Linked DNA regions of Saccharomyces cerevisiae S288C. The protein of the gene in region 1 interacts with the protein of each later gene in a biochemical or structural test. Each region holds a gene or a part of one and is shown in the gene's direction. Other genes may lie near its edges. The genes, in order: SEC22, GOS1, SFT1 and BET1.

Region 1 (2,868 bases):
TTCTCAGATTTGAAACTCATAGAAACCTTCTTCCCCTTGGCGAATTCCAATTCAAACATAATCGAGTTCGTATTCTGTGTTCGCAATATAAAGAGTTCGTTTTATTCACCTTTGGAAAAATTACATATTGCGAACATAGTCGCAGATATTGATATTAACACATTGTATCTGGACTTCGTGGATTCAAATATCTATTCGGATCAAAATTTCTTTGGGATTTTTGATCCCGATATTTTTCAGCTGATTAATAAAAACTATAGAAACTTCTTTTCTAAGACTAACGAAAAGGGGAAGAAAAGACCCCCCATTTGCAAGAAAATCTGTTTTCCCTTTGTTGAAACATTGAATTTGGATTATATGGCCCTTGATTCATTCTTTAATTCGATACTGCATAAACTAACAACAAAGATAAAAACATTTGAAAGGAACAATGAGTTTGACGTGGATAAAAATTTAAATTTAAACTCGACAACGACAGTAGCAGCTTTAATTATCAAGTCGATCTTGCAACAATTCTTCAACAATTTTCATATCAGCTTCCCTAATTTGGTTACCTTGAATTTTATTAAGATGTCTACCTACCCAAACAATAATGAGATTACCCAATGTTGTAACTTCATAGATTTATCTTCATATGTTCTAAACAAATGTTTAAGTGAGAATATCTCGATAAATTTCCTCTTTCAGTTGCACTCTTTGAAAAATTGGTCAATGCCCAAGATTAAAGAATTCACTGGGCACAAATTCAAGTATGACGAAACAACATTTTCAGGTTCACCAGAAAGGTACATCAAATCATTGAGGGGAAACATTAAAATTTTGCAAGAAATGGCAATTAACGAAACCAACGATGGTACTTGCTATTTCAGAGTCAAGTTGATACCTGAGGGGGTAGAAAAAACTCAAATAATCAACTGGATCCCCTTTACTTCTTCATTTAGCGATGATACCTTCAAACAAAGACACCATTTAAAGAGGCCAATGATTTGCTTGAAGAACAACTCTTTAAGATCGCTCACTGTCAAAATCATACGTATTGAAAAATGTTCATCCATCCGAATCCAGGGATTTTACCTACCAAATCTGCAGGAACTGTTCATCAACAATACCCTTTGCGACACCACCCAACACCAAAAACAAGCGTCAAATGATATGAGTTGTATAGAGTTCACTTCATGGAATGAACTACCACAATGCAAGAAATTGGGATTTGCTCAATTAGAGGACGACTCTAACTACGTTCTTAATATCAGTAACCTACAAGACCATTTACCAAATCTGGACCTGCGGGAGAGTTTCCCAACTTTCTTCGATATAAGACAGAAGTTTGTCGTGGTTTGAGGTCTAATTTTCAACCAAACGTGTTGTACTAGCATATATAATTAAATAAATTTCTCTAGTTATCACTTGATTTATCTAATAAGAGACGTCATAAACGAATTTTTTTTTAGCAATAAATCCTCAACGCTTTTTGTTTTCATTTTTCGGTCTTTTTCTACCATAGAAGATAAACAAGTAGAGCCCATGTAATATAATATATCTACAACCTATTATTACCCAAAACCAACAAAAACCCTGACAGTGACACCCCGTTACACACTCACAATTAAGTAGGGATGATAAAGTCAACACTAATCTACAGAGAAGATGGGCTGCCTCTTTGTACGTCTGTGGACAACGAAAATGATCCCTCATTATTTGAACAAAAGCAAAAGGTGAAAATCGTCGTTTCCAGATTGACACCACAGTCTGCCACGGAGGCTACTTTGGAAAGTGGCTCCTTTGAGATCCATTATTTGAAGAAATCCATGGTGTACTACTTCGTCATTTGCGAATCTGGATACCCAAGAAACTTAGCATTCTCATACCTTAACGATATAGCGCAAGAATTTGAACACTCATTTGCTAATGAGTACCCCAAGCCTACCGTAAGACCATACCAGTTTGTAAACTTTGATAACTTTCTACAGATGACAAAAAAGTCATACAGTGATAAGAAAGTTCAGGACAATTTGGACCAACTAAACCAAGAGCTTGTAGGTGTCAAGCAAATCATGTCCAAGAACATCGAAGACCTACTTTACAGGGGAGATTCTCTCGATAAAATGAGTGACATGAGTTCTTCTTTGAAAGAAACATCCAAAAGGTACAGAAAGTCCGCGCAAAAGATCAACTTCGATCTCTTGATCAGTCAATATGCTCCTATTGTCATTGTCGCTTTCTTTTTCGTCTTTCTCTTCTGGTGGATCTTCCTCAAATAGACGTCACCCCATCATCCCACATCACAAATCCCGATCAATTTGGTCCAAGTGTATAACATAGTCTAGTTCAGTATTAGTATAGTATGGCAATTTATTTGACATAATTACGTATTTTTCAGGCAAGCTGGCAGGTGACCCGCCGCACCTGCACTTTTTAGGGAGTCTTTTCAAGGATATCATCACTATATATCGAAGGAAAAGAGGCTTTCCAACTCTTTTGGATGATCGAATTGCCATCACTACTCTATTAACTGTCTGTGTATTAACTAAATAATCACATAGTATTAAGTTATAATTCCTGGAAAAAAAAAGAAAGCGAAACGACAAAATTAGCATATACCATGTCTCAACTGCCAACAGATTTTGCTTCATTGATCAAGAGATTCCAATTTGTTAGTGTCCTCGATTCCAACCCTCAAACCAAAGTTATGTCCTTATTGGGAACCATTGACAACAAGGATGCTATTATCACGGCTGAAAAGACGCACTTTCTATTTGACGAAACCGTGAGAAGACCCTCTCAAGATGGCCGCTCCACTCCAGTTTTATATAATTGTGAAAACGAATATTCTTGCATCAACGGAATTCAGGAATTAAAGGAGATTAC
Region 2 (2,838 bases), on another chromosome or scaffold:
AAGATCTAAGTTTATACTCAGATGAATGCAATCCAATAGAGCAAATCAACGAAATACATTCTGCTTTGGTGGTGGCGAAGTGACTTCTGTTTAATATGGACAGGATTTTTTCTTGCAAGATAGCCTTGACCGGCGGTCTTCCATTTGCTGTGTTGCCGATGTACAGCGTCTGAAGAAAGGTGATGAACTCTTCGTTTTCATAAGGCATGGGAAACCGTTTCATGAACTGAGCCGCATCATCAGATAAATTTGTAGAATCCGTAGAGACAACGCACAAAAATTCCATCAGTTCAATCATCCTAGGTGACTGCTCAATAGTTTGGGTAGCCGCCATGCCACGGCAAACAAATTGAAAAATAGCCTTTTTGAACTTATTCAGCTGTTCTTTGTTGAAAGTAACGCCCGCATCATAAGTAAAGAATGCCACATCAGTTAGAGATAGGCCCGGACATGTGTAACCTCTCGACAGGGGCTGTTGAGAAACCTGGACTTGCTTTGAAGGTACCAGCAGAAAAAACCTGGTAAATTGGCGCATCAAAAACGAAAAACCGTCGTTGTCCAGTTGAAGGAACTGAACAAATTCTTCCTGCTCATGTGAAGACTCCTGGGGTGCAACCCATTCCAAAATAAGCTTCAAAAGGATGTGGAACATTCTGGCGGCTACTGTGCCTGTTAGACACGAGATGTTCGAAACGACTAACGGTAGCAACTGCTGTCTATCTTGCAAGGAAAGCCTATCTATGCCTTTAGACGCCAGTAGCAGACTGTAAAGGCGGACATTGGTCGAGTCTTGTTGAGCGGCTAAATTGGGTTCCTTTGCTTGGACAATAAGCGCCCTCACAGGAAGCTGAACCTGGGGCAGCGTATTTATCCTAGAAATGAGGTTTTTTAAGGCTGAAAATACTGCTGTTCTAACGGAGGCATGTGGAGAGGCGAGTTTTAGTAATAATGGAGGCAAAAAAGTCTGCAGATTAGTTTCGAACTTTTGAGGGGAATCTGCGATAGCCAGGCGCAATTCTGCCTTCTCCACGAGCTGTTTTTCTTTCGCTTCGTCAGAAGAAATGGACATAATGTTGTTCGTGGTGAAATAGAAACTTTTCTATAATTATTGTATTATCCAATCCTGCACAAAGACAAAGAGATCAGTTATCGAGAGCTTACCAGCTTCTTTATATCAGGAAGTACCTTTTTTTTGCCACCAAGAAAAGGCATATGGATATACCGGGTAACACATAAATACCAAAACTCTGGCGGCTAAACTGGTAAAACCTGATATATACAAAGATCAAATAAGTATAAAAGCTTTCAAAGATGCTTATGAAAAATCTCACGAGATTGGTAGTTACTGATCAGGCACAAACTCCGCAGCCAAAACAATATTTTGAAAATATGTGAGCATTCAGCAAGAGACCTTCAACTGCTCCGAATGTGCATTTCACAGCAATGCAACAAAAGTCAATGACACTTGCAAACCCAGTGTAAGACGCCTACTCTTGTTCAATCAGTTAGTTATCTTTGTTCAATAGTGTGGTTGGTAACCAAATTTTCTAGGCGTTGTTGAAAATAAAGAGAACGAAAAACAAAAAAAAAGAGATAAAAAGACAAGGAAAAAATAAACTAACTAGACACAGGGAAAAGCCCAATTCCAGACAAGCAACCACACCACATGAGCTCACAACCGTCTTTCGTCACCATAAGGGGCAAGGCCATTTCTCTAGAAACACAAACGGAGTCACTTCTTTCCAAGTACTCCACATTCGCGCAGACAACTAGTTCAGAACAAACTGGCCAAGAAAAGAAGATAGACAAGCAGTTGGAGGGAATCTTAGGCCAGAGACAGGATGTAATCGATTCATTAACACAAATCTGCGATTCTAACCCGGCAATCTCCGCCTCAAAGCTTTCCCAACTGCACCGCCACAAGGAGATCTTACAAGACCACTGGAAGAGCTTCCGCAATATCAGGTCCTCCATCCAGCAAGAGCGCAACAGACTAAACTTGTTATTCAGCGTGAAGAACGATATTGCTAATTCCACAACGGACGCGCCAGCTCCTATAGGGGATGCTGACGAGTACATTCAGAACGAAACAAGGCGAATCGATCAGTCCAACAACGTAGTCGACCGTCTCATCTCCCAAGCCTGGGAGACTCGGTCGCAGTTCCACTCGCAGAGCAACGTGCTGAACACGGCAAACAACAAGGTGTTGCAAACTTTACAAAGAATACCAGGTGTCAATCAGCTTATTATGAAGATTAACACGAGAAGGAAGAAAAACGCGTTTGTATTGGCCACGATAACCACCCTTTGTATACTGTTTTTGTTTTTCACATGGTAAATAACGACTTTTATTAAACAACGTATGTAAAAACATAACAAGAATCTACCCATACAGGCCATTTCGTAATTCTTCTCTTCTAATTGGAGTAAAACCATCAATTAAAGGGTGTGGAGTAGCATAGTGAGGGGCTGACTGCATTGACAAAAAAATTGAAAAAAAAAAAAGGAAAAGGAAAGGAAAAAAAGACAGCCAAGACTTTTAGAACGGATAAGGTGTAATAAAATGTGGGGGGATGCCTGTTCTCGAACCATATAAAATATACCATGTGGTTTGAGTTGTGGCCGGAACTATACAAATAGTTATATGTTTCCCTCTCTCTTCCGACTTGTAGTATTCTCCAAACGTTACATATTCCGATCAAGCCAGCGCCTTTACACTAGTTTAAAACAAGAACAGAGCCGTATGTCCAAAATAATGGAAGATTTACGAAGTGACTACGTCCCGCTTATCGCCAGTATTGATGTAGGAACGACCTCATCCAGATGCATTCTGTTCAA
Region 3 (2,929 bases), on another chromosome or scaffold:
TAGCACCTCTTGGTAGAGCAAAGGTCAATGGAGTTAAGACAACTTGACCCAAGTTGATGGCTTGACGTGGAACACCAGCTTTTGGACCGTCAATCAAAACCTATAATAATTATAACAAATAATTTAAAAAAATTATTCATAAAAGTTGTTAGTAAACGAAATTTTTTCAAAACGATGGAAGGCATGGTTTAATATTTGAGGAAACATGGTCAGGCTCTTTAAGAATTAACTGCGCAAATATGGGTCATCACCTTTCTGAAACTAGGTAAGCTGCTAGCAAAATAAATAAATAATCCACTATAGGCCACTCCAACAGGGAAATAAAGACTTTTTTGTATCTCTATCGCAATGTGTATTTTCACATTTACTTATCGTTTACAAGTAGCTTCATCCATGGTAACGGATTGGATATTTGCCAGCACTTTTTCGTAGCCTAAATCTCATTCCTCGTTCATTTCCCTCCTCAAATCGATGATAGGTTTTCCGGATTTAACATACCTTCTTTTGGTCAATAATTTCGACGATAGCGGCCAATTTACCTGCGGATTGACCCTTCTTGATCAAAACCACACGGCCAACTTCGACTAATCTCCAGTTAGAAGCCTTGACAATAGAATCGGTGGACATTGTTTATTTTATTTTTCACGACTCTCTTTGTTCACTAAGACAAACAATTAAATTTGTTATACAATCGGCAGACCTGATCAACTTAACCTTAGATTACTTTTTTTTCAGTTCAATAGTACTCGACGAGTACGAAGGGCAGTCCACTGAAAGCTCTACGCTCTCTCCGTTGCCAATTGGGCTGAGAATGGAAACACTGCGCGCTGAAGGGAAACCCGATTATGGAAAAATGCACGCAGCTGCAAGCAGCAATCTCTCGTAAACCGCTCTTTTCCGGGCGGAAAGTTAGGCCGACACCTGTTTGAAGCTTCATAAAATGCAAAATCGAAAAAAAATTGATAACGGACACTCAAAATTTGATATTTCACACATATTATGTATGTGATGTCAAGATGTAAAAATAGTGTATGGGTGTATTTGCGCTGTCAATTATTTTACTCAGAGTATAGTTACATTCTGGCAAGAATTTGCTGGTTTTGTCTTTTTTTACTTCACAACTAATGCTGGATTTTTTTATTTAAACCTAATTTCTTCAGTGAACTCCAATGTGTATTCATGTTTGATTTTAAAAGCTTCAATTTTAAAAGCTTCAATTTTAAATATCCGATGACTGTTAATCGCAGCTGCTAGTGAGATGACTGACAAAAGGTTCAGTAGAAACATAAAATATATAACAAATGTGTTGAGAATGATAGTATGATACAGTGGTATCATATTTCGTTCCTATTTGAGGTACCAGTAGTTCTTATCAAGAAGATTCAATGAGAAAGGTAACTGAATGATGATATAATTTGCGATCTAGGGCTAATCACTTGGAACACCGCCATGTTCTATATGGGTGATTAGCGAAGTGCGAAAAATTTTTTATCTGATATTTTCCTTGAACAATATTTCTAATAACACTTGCGTTGTTGCAACTGGCAGATTAACCATGTTGCTCAATATTCCTTCCTTGTATATGGGAGAACATCTTGAGGCAATGTTTAGAATTTAAAAATGTGTGCTCCCTTAAACTACGCTACTCAGAAAGGATCTTCGTGTGTACGGTAACTGACCAATGAATATTGTGCGGTAAGTATCTTATGTTTCTTGTTGCTGAATGTACGGTTCATGCAGTAAATTAGCTACTCTAGTTTTCTTGTTATTGCAAGAAGCCGCGCATTGCTACATGCAGAAAAAAAAAGAGGAAATAATATAAGGTATATCATTAAGAAGGATACTGGAAGAACTCAACAAGGAGAGAACGGTAGAAAGGTAATATATAATCATCATAGCGATGTCAAATTCTAGGTATTCTCAGACCGAATCAAACGTATGTAAATCACCGGCAACACGCATAGGTGTTTAGAATGGGACCTAGCTTGCTATATGGATGTTATAAGCTACTAACTATTGCTTCTGTACACCGGATGAGCAGATGTATCATCCCTTCATGTACATGTACTTTAAACAGAATGATAGGAAACTAGAGGGGTTAGCCAATAAATTAGCTACATTCAGAAACATAAACCAAGAGATTGGAGACCGAGCGGTCTCTGACAGTTCTGTCATAAACCAAATGACAGATTCATTGGGATCGATGTTTACCGATATCAAAAATTCGTCCTCAAGGTTAACCCGATCATTAAAGGCTGGTAATAGCATATGGAGAATGGTGGGTTTGGCGTTATTAATATTCTTCATTCTATATACCCTGTTTAAGTTATTTTAGTGAGCCAATCAAGCCAAAAATAAATAATGTACATAGATGTATTCAATTTAAGAAATAGGAAGAGAATGGAATAAGGCAGGCATGAAATTTCATTTGCCTTCTGCCGCATTCTTACCCAATCTATAACTGCCAATCGCACTACCCCAGTTAATTTTGGATCTCGTGACTGGTAATCTTCTTCTTAAGGCCTTAAACTGTTTTTCGTTCAAGTCGAAAAATGAAAGATCTAGATCATTTTCGAAATTCGTCTCAATATCCCTTATTGTGCAAACAACGTCATCAACGTTAGATTGATTGATATCCTTCCCAGATTGGAAACTAACGTTACCGTCTTCGTAATAGTGGACTTGCGTAGAGATTTGACCGGATAACTCCCTGGTCTCCAAATCGTAGATGTAGCTTGATCTCCAATGGCCGTTCCAGAAATTGTTTGGATTATATTTGGTGCTAACAATAATAATAGAAATTTTACTTATTTCCTCAGGGACTGGGTAAACAGCAAAACTGACATCACCTGGAAAGCTCTGAAGAAGATATTCGTGCAATTTATCGTGCAGTTCTTTCAATTGCCCTTTCTCTATCTTTGCATGCGTG
Region 4 (3,086 bases), on another chromosome or scaffold:
TGGAACTTTTTGCCAAATCATTGTTGTCCCTGTGTAGATCTTCTAACTGAACTAACAGAGAGTCCATTTTCTTTTCCATTTCATCCAACTTAAGTTCGACTTCCGAGATTTTCTCTTCTCCTCCTTTTAGTAGGTTCAAAACATCTAAAATATCCTTTGCGCCTGCAGTACTGACATCTTCGGGTGTATCACGAGTCATATTATTGACGACGAGTGAAGTGTTCTGCGATTTCTCTAGAGTAATTGATTCAGTTGCTCTTTCTCAAAATTGTGTGATTAAATATTATTTCTTTGTCAATATTTACCCGGCCTTTTAAATTTGTATCACCACTTGAAGAACATGCTGCAGTTGCCGGTTAGCTTCTAACCACCTTTCGATATAGGAATCGAAATAGGAATCGAAATTTATTTCTAGGCCCAAGGATCAAAATATAAGTGTATATAAACACACACACACACATATATATATATATACGTACATGCATAGGAGAGGATCTTATTTTGGAGATTCTATCTGGGGTTGCTCGTGTTTATCCACAACAGGGGTTGTAGTGTCTTGTTTCCTCAGTTTCTTCATTATTTCTTCAAAAATGGGACAAAGAGATGATTCTCTGTACATTTCTACAAGCGTTTTTTTACTTGAAACTTGATTCTCAATCATTTCTACAAATTTTGGATCTATAGGAACGTTACCAAGGTATGGGACAGAAAATTGCTCCGATAATCTTTTACCACCCCCACTGGAAAAGATATTTGTACACTCAGCACAATGCGGGCATACAAACCCTGACATGTTTTCAATTATACCGAGGATCTTTAAATCGACCTTCTTGCAGAAATTGATTTCTTTTTTGACATCAGCTGTTGCAACACTCTGTGGGGTAGTTACTACAATACCACCATCTGGTTTGGAATATCTCAGCTCCTCTGCAATCGATATATGTTCATCCGACGTTCCCGGAGGGGTATCGATCAGTAAGTAATCCAGTTCACCCCAGGCGACGTCAGAGATGAATTGTTTTATCATAGAAGTCTTCTTAGGACCCCTCCATATCACGCTGTTCCCTCTATCACCTAGTAGAAACCCCAATGATATTACACTAAGAGAGCCAGTAGAGTTTGTCTCCACTTTCACAGGTTGCCAACCTTCAGGACCTTGATATATAGATTCGTTCTCTAGGCCAAACATCCTCGGTAAGGATGGCCCTGTTAAATCAATATCTAAAACTCCAACTTTGAAGCCCATACTGCAAAGAGTCAGCGCAGTCTGTGTCGTTACCGAACTTTTACCGACACCACCTTTTCCGGAAAGGATCAATATGATATGTTTTATTCCTGCCAAAGAGGCCGCAGGAACGCCTATCTCCTGTTCCTCCATGCTTAATTGTAATAGTCGTATTAGTTTTGGGTGCTCCTCGACGCATGTGTATAGTTTTCATTTTGATGGTGTAAAACGTTCATGACTAATGAAGCCTTCCGATTTCTTTCCATTTTGCTATTACTTGCGCGATGAGCCGTCTAATGTGATTCTTCCAAATAATATCTAATAAACCCATGGTGTTTACTCTGTGATAGGAACCAAAGATCCCGTAATTATCGCTTTGTAATTGTATTTCCAGTTATTTCTGTACATTCTAGGTTACTGTTCAGGGATATGTTTCACTCTTATCGATGTGGCGTGCAAAAAATTTGAAGGGGCGACATATCAGGGAAAGTATTAGTGATTTTTTATAATGTTGCACTATCTCAGATGAAATTTATGCATGCTAATTGGCGGATACTACTCTACCGTTGTTGCAAGCTACGTAGGAACGTTCACGGCTCTTTCTTCCATTAATTTTAAATTGCGAAAGTATCCAGTAGTTGTTAAAAATGGAGTTTTTTCAACTCGCGCCTTTTGCCAAGGAATGGTAGAAAACAAACAGTAGTTCACTTGAGACTGTGAATGTGTTAGAAAATGTGATTGAAGAGCCTCACAACACTAGGCTACACAGATGAGTTCAAGGTATGAGAAATTATTAGACTATTCTAAAGTTAGAGTAGCGCTTTTTGTTAAACATCTACCATAACACCTCGATATTGGGAGTTATTGACCACGAGTGAACTTCGTTTACTAACTATAGCGTGTGTATATAGATTTGCAGGGGGAAACGCTTATCAACGTGATACTGGTAGAACACAGTTATTCGGACCGGCTGATGGATCAAATAGTCTCGATGACAATGTATCATCAGCGCTAGGGAGCACAGATAAATTAGACTACTCCCAAAGTACTTTGGCATCTCTTGAATCTCAAAGTGAGGAACAGATGGGAGCTATGGGTCAGAGAATAAAAGCACTCAAGTCATTATCGTTGAAGATGGGTGATGAGATTAGAGGCAGCAATCAAACTATTGACCAGCTTGGTGATACTTTCCATAACACTTCTGTAAAACTCAAAAGGACTTTTGGAAACATGATGGAGATGGCCAGAAGATCTGGGATCAGTATAAAAACATGGTTAATAATATTTTTTATGGTAGGCGTGCTATTTTTTTGGGTATGGATTACATAAATATTTGCATATTGTACATTAAACCTAAGTGACAAAATAAGAGCGACGTTTGTTAGATGATTGTAGATATTGATACGTGAAATAAAGGATAGTTATGATAGCATCATAAGATATCAGCATTCTTTTATTTTTATAACTACTTAAGCGTTTAATCTTGATTTTTTTTTTTCTCCATATTTCCTAGGATACCGACAGCGTTCCTTTTCGCCCTATAGTGTTTCCTTACTTTGTATCTTCTGTAAATAGATGGACCTTTGAGTATTGCGATAAACAAAACAATAACAATTAAGTAACCGGGCATGCCGTTCCCGTGGATTATGTCTAGGAAACTGAGGACATTATGGAATGGAGAATTTATCAATCTCCCCTTCAACTTAGAGCTGTATAGAGCTTTTGATGGAATATTTAAGGACACGAATGCTTCTCTCAGCAATTGAGGGTTGTTAGAAGTCAAGGAGTTGCCAAAATTATCTTTATTGTAGTAGTAATTATTTGATTTATCAATGATAATCACATCACCAATTTTATATTC

The links.
Region 2: the proteins of SEC22 (region 1) and GOS1 form a complex in vitro, tested with the Saccharomyces cerevisiae proteins (2 studies listed by BioGRID).
Region 3: the proteins of SEC22 (region 1) and SFT1 form a complex in vitro, tested with the Saccharomyces cerevisiae proteins (3 studies listed by BioGRID).
Region 4: the proteins of SEC22 (region 1) and BET1 form a complex in vitro, tested with the Saccharomyces cerevisiae proteins (4 studies listed by BioGRID).

What each region holds. Positions count from the first base shown.
Region 1 is NC_001144.5:678,584-681,451, forward strand, and holds SEC22 (SNAP receptor SEC22), read left to right. Parts: upstream 1-1,616; coding exon 1,617-2,261; downstream 2,262-2,868. Other genes in the region: BOP2 (Bop2p), read left to right, coding at 1-1,341; DCS1 (5'-(N(7)-methyl 5'-triphosphoguanosine)-(mRNA) diphosphatase), read left to right, coding at 2,603-2,868. UniProt on the Saccharomyces cerevisiae protein: Nonessential SNARE involved in targeting and fusion of ER-derived transport vesicles with the Golgi complex as well as Golgi-derived retrograde transport vesicles with the ER.
Region 2 is NC_001140.6:38,315-41,152, reverse strand, and holds GOS1 (Gos1p), read left to right. Parts: upstream 1-1,666; coding exon 1,667-2,338; downstream 2,339-2,838. Other genes in the region: ECM29 (Ecm29p), read right to left, coding at 1-1,069; GUT1 (glycerol kinase), read left to right, coding at 2,645-2,838. UniProt on the Saccharomyces cerevisiae protein: Involved in transport from the ER to the Golgi apparatus as well as in intra-Golgi transport. It belongs to a super-family of proteins called t-SNAREs or soluble NSF (N-ethylmaleimide-sensitive factor) attachment protein receptor.
Region 3 is NC_001143.9:429,604-432,532, reverse strand, and holds SFT1 (Sft1p), read left to right. Parts: upstream 1-1,900; coding exon 1,901-1,936; intron 1,937-2,077; coding exon 2,078-2,335; downstream 2,336-2,929. Other genes in the region: 60S ribosomal protein eL14 RPL14A, read right to left, coding at 1-100, 499-627; CAP1 (Cap1p), read right to left, coding at 2,425-2,929. UniProt on the Saccharomyces cerevisiae protein: Vesicle SNARE required for retrograde transport within the Golgi complex.
Region 4 is NC_001141.2:347,414-350,499, reverse strand, and holds BET1 (Bet1p), read left to right. Parts: upstream 1-1,994; coding exon 1,995-2,005; intron 2,006-2,136; coding exon 2,137-2,554; downstream 2,555-3,086. Other genes in the region: CMI7 (Cmi7p), read right to left, coding at 1-199; iron-sulfur cluster assembly protein CFD1, read right to left, coding at 497-1,378; protein disulfide isomerase EPS1, read right to left, coding at 2,703-3,086. UniProt on the Saccharomyces cerevisiae protein: SNARE required for targeting and fusion of ER-derived transport vesicles with the Golgi complex.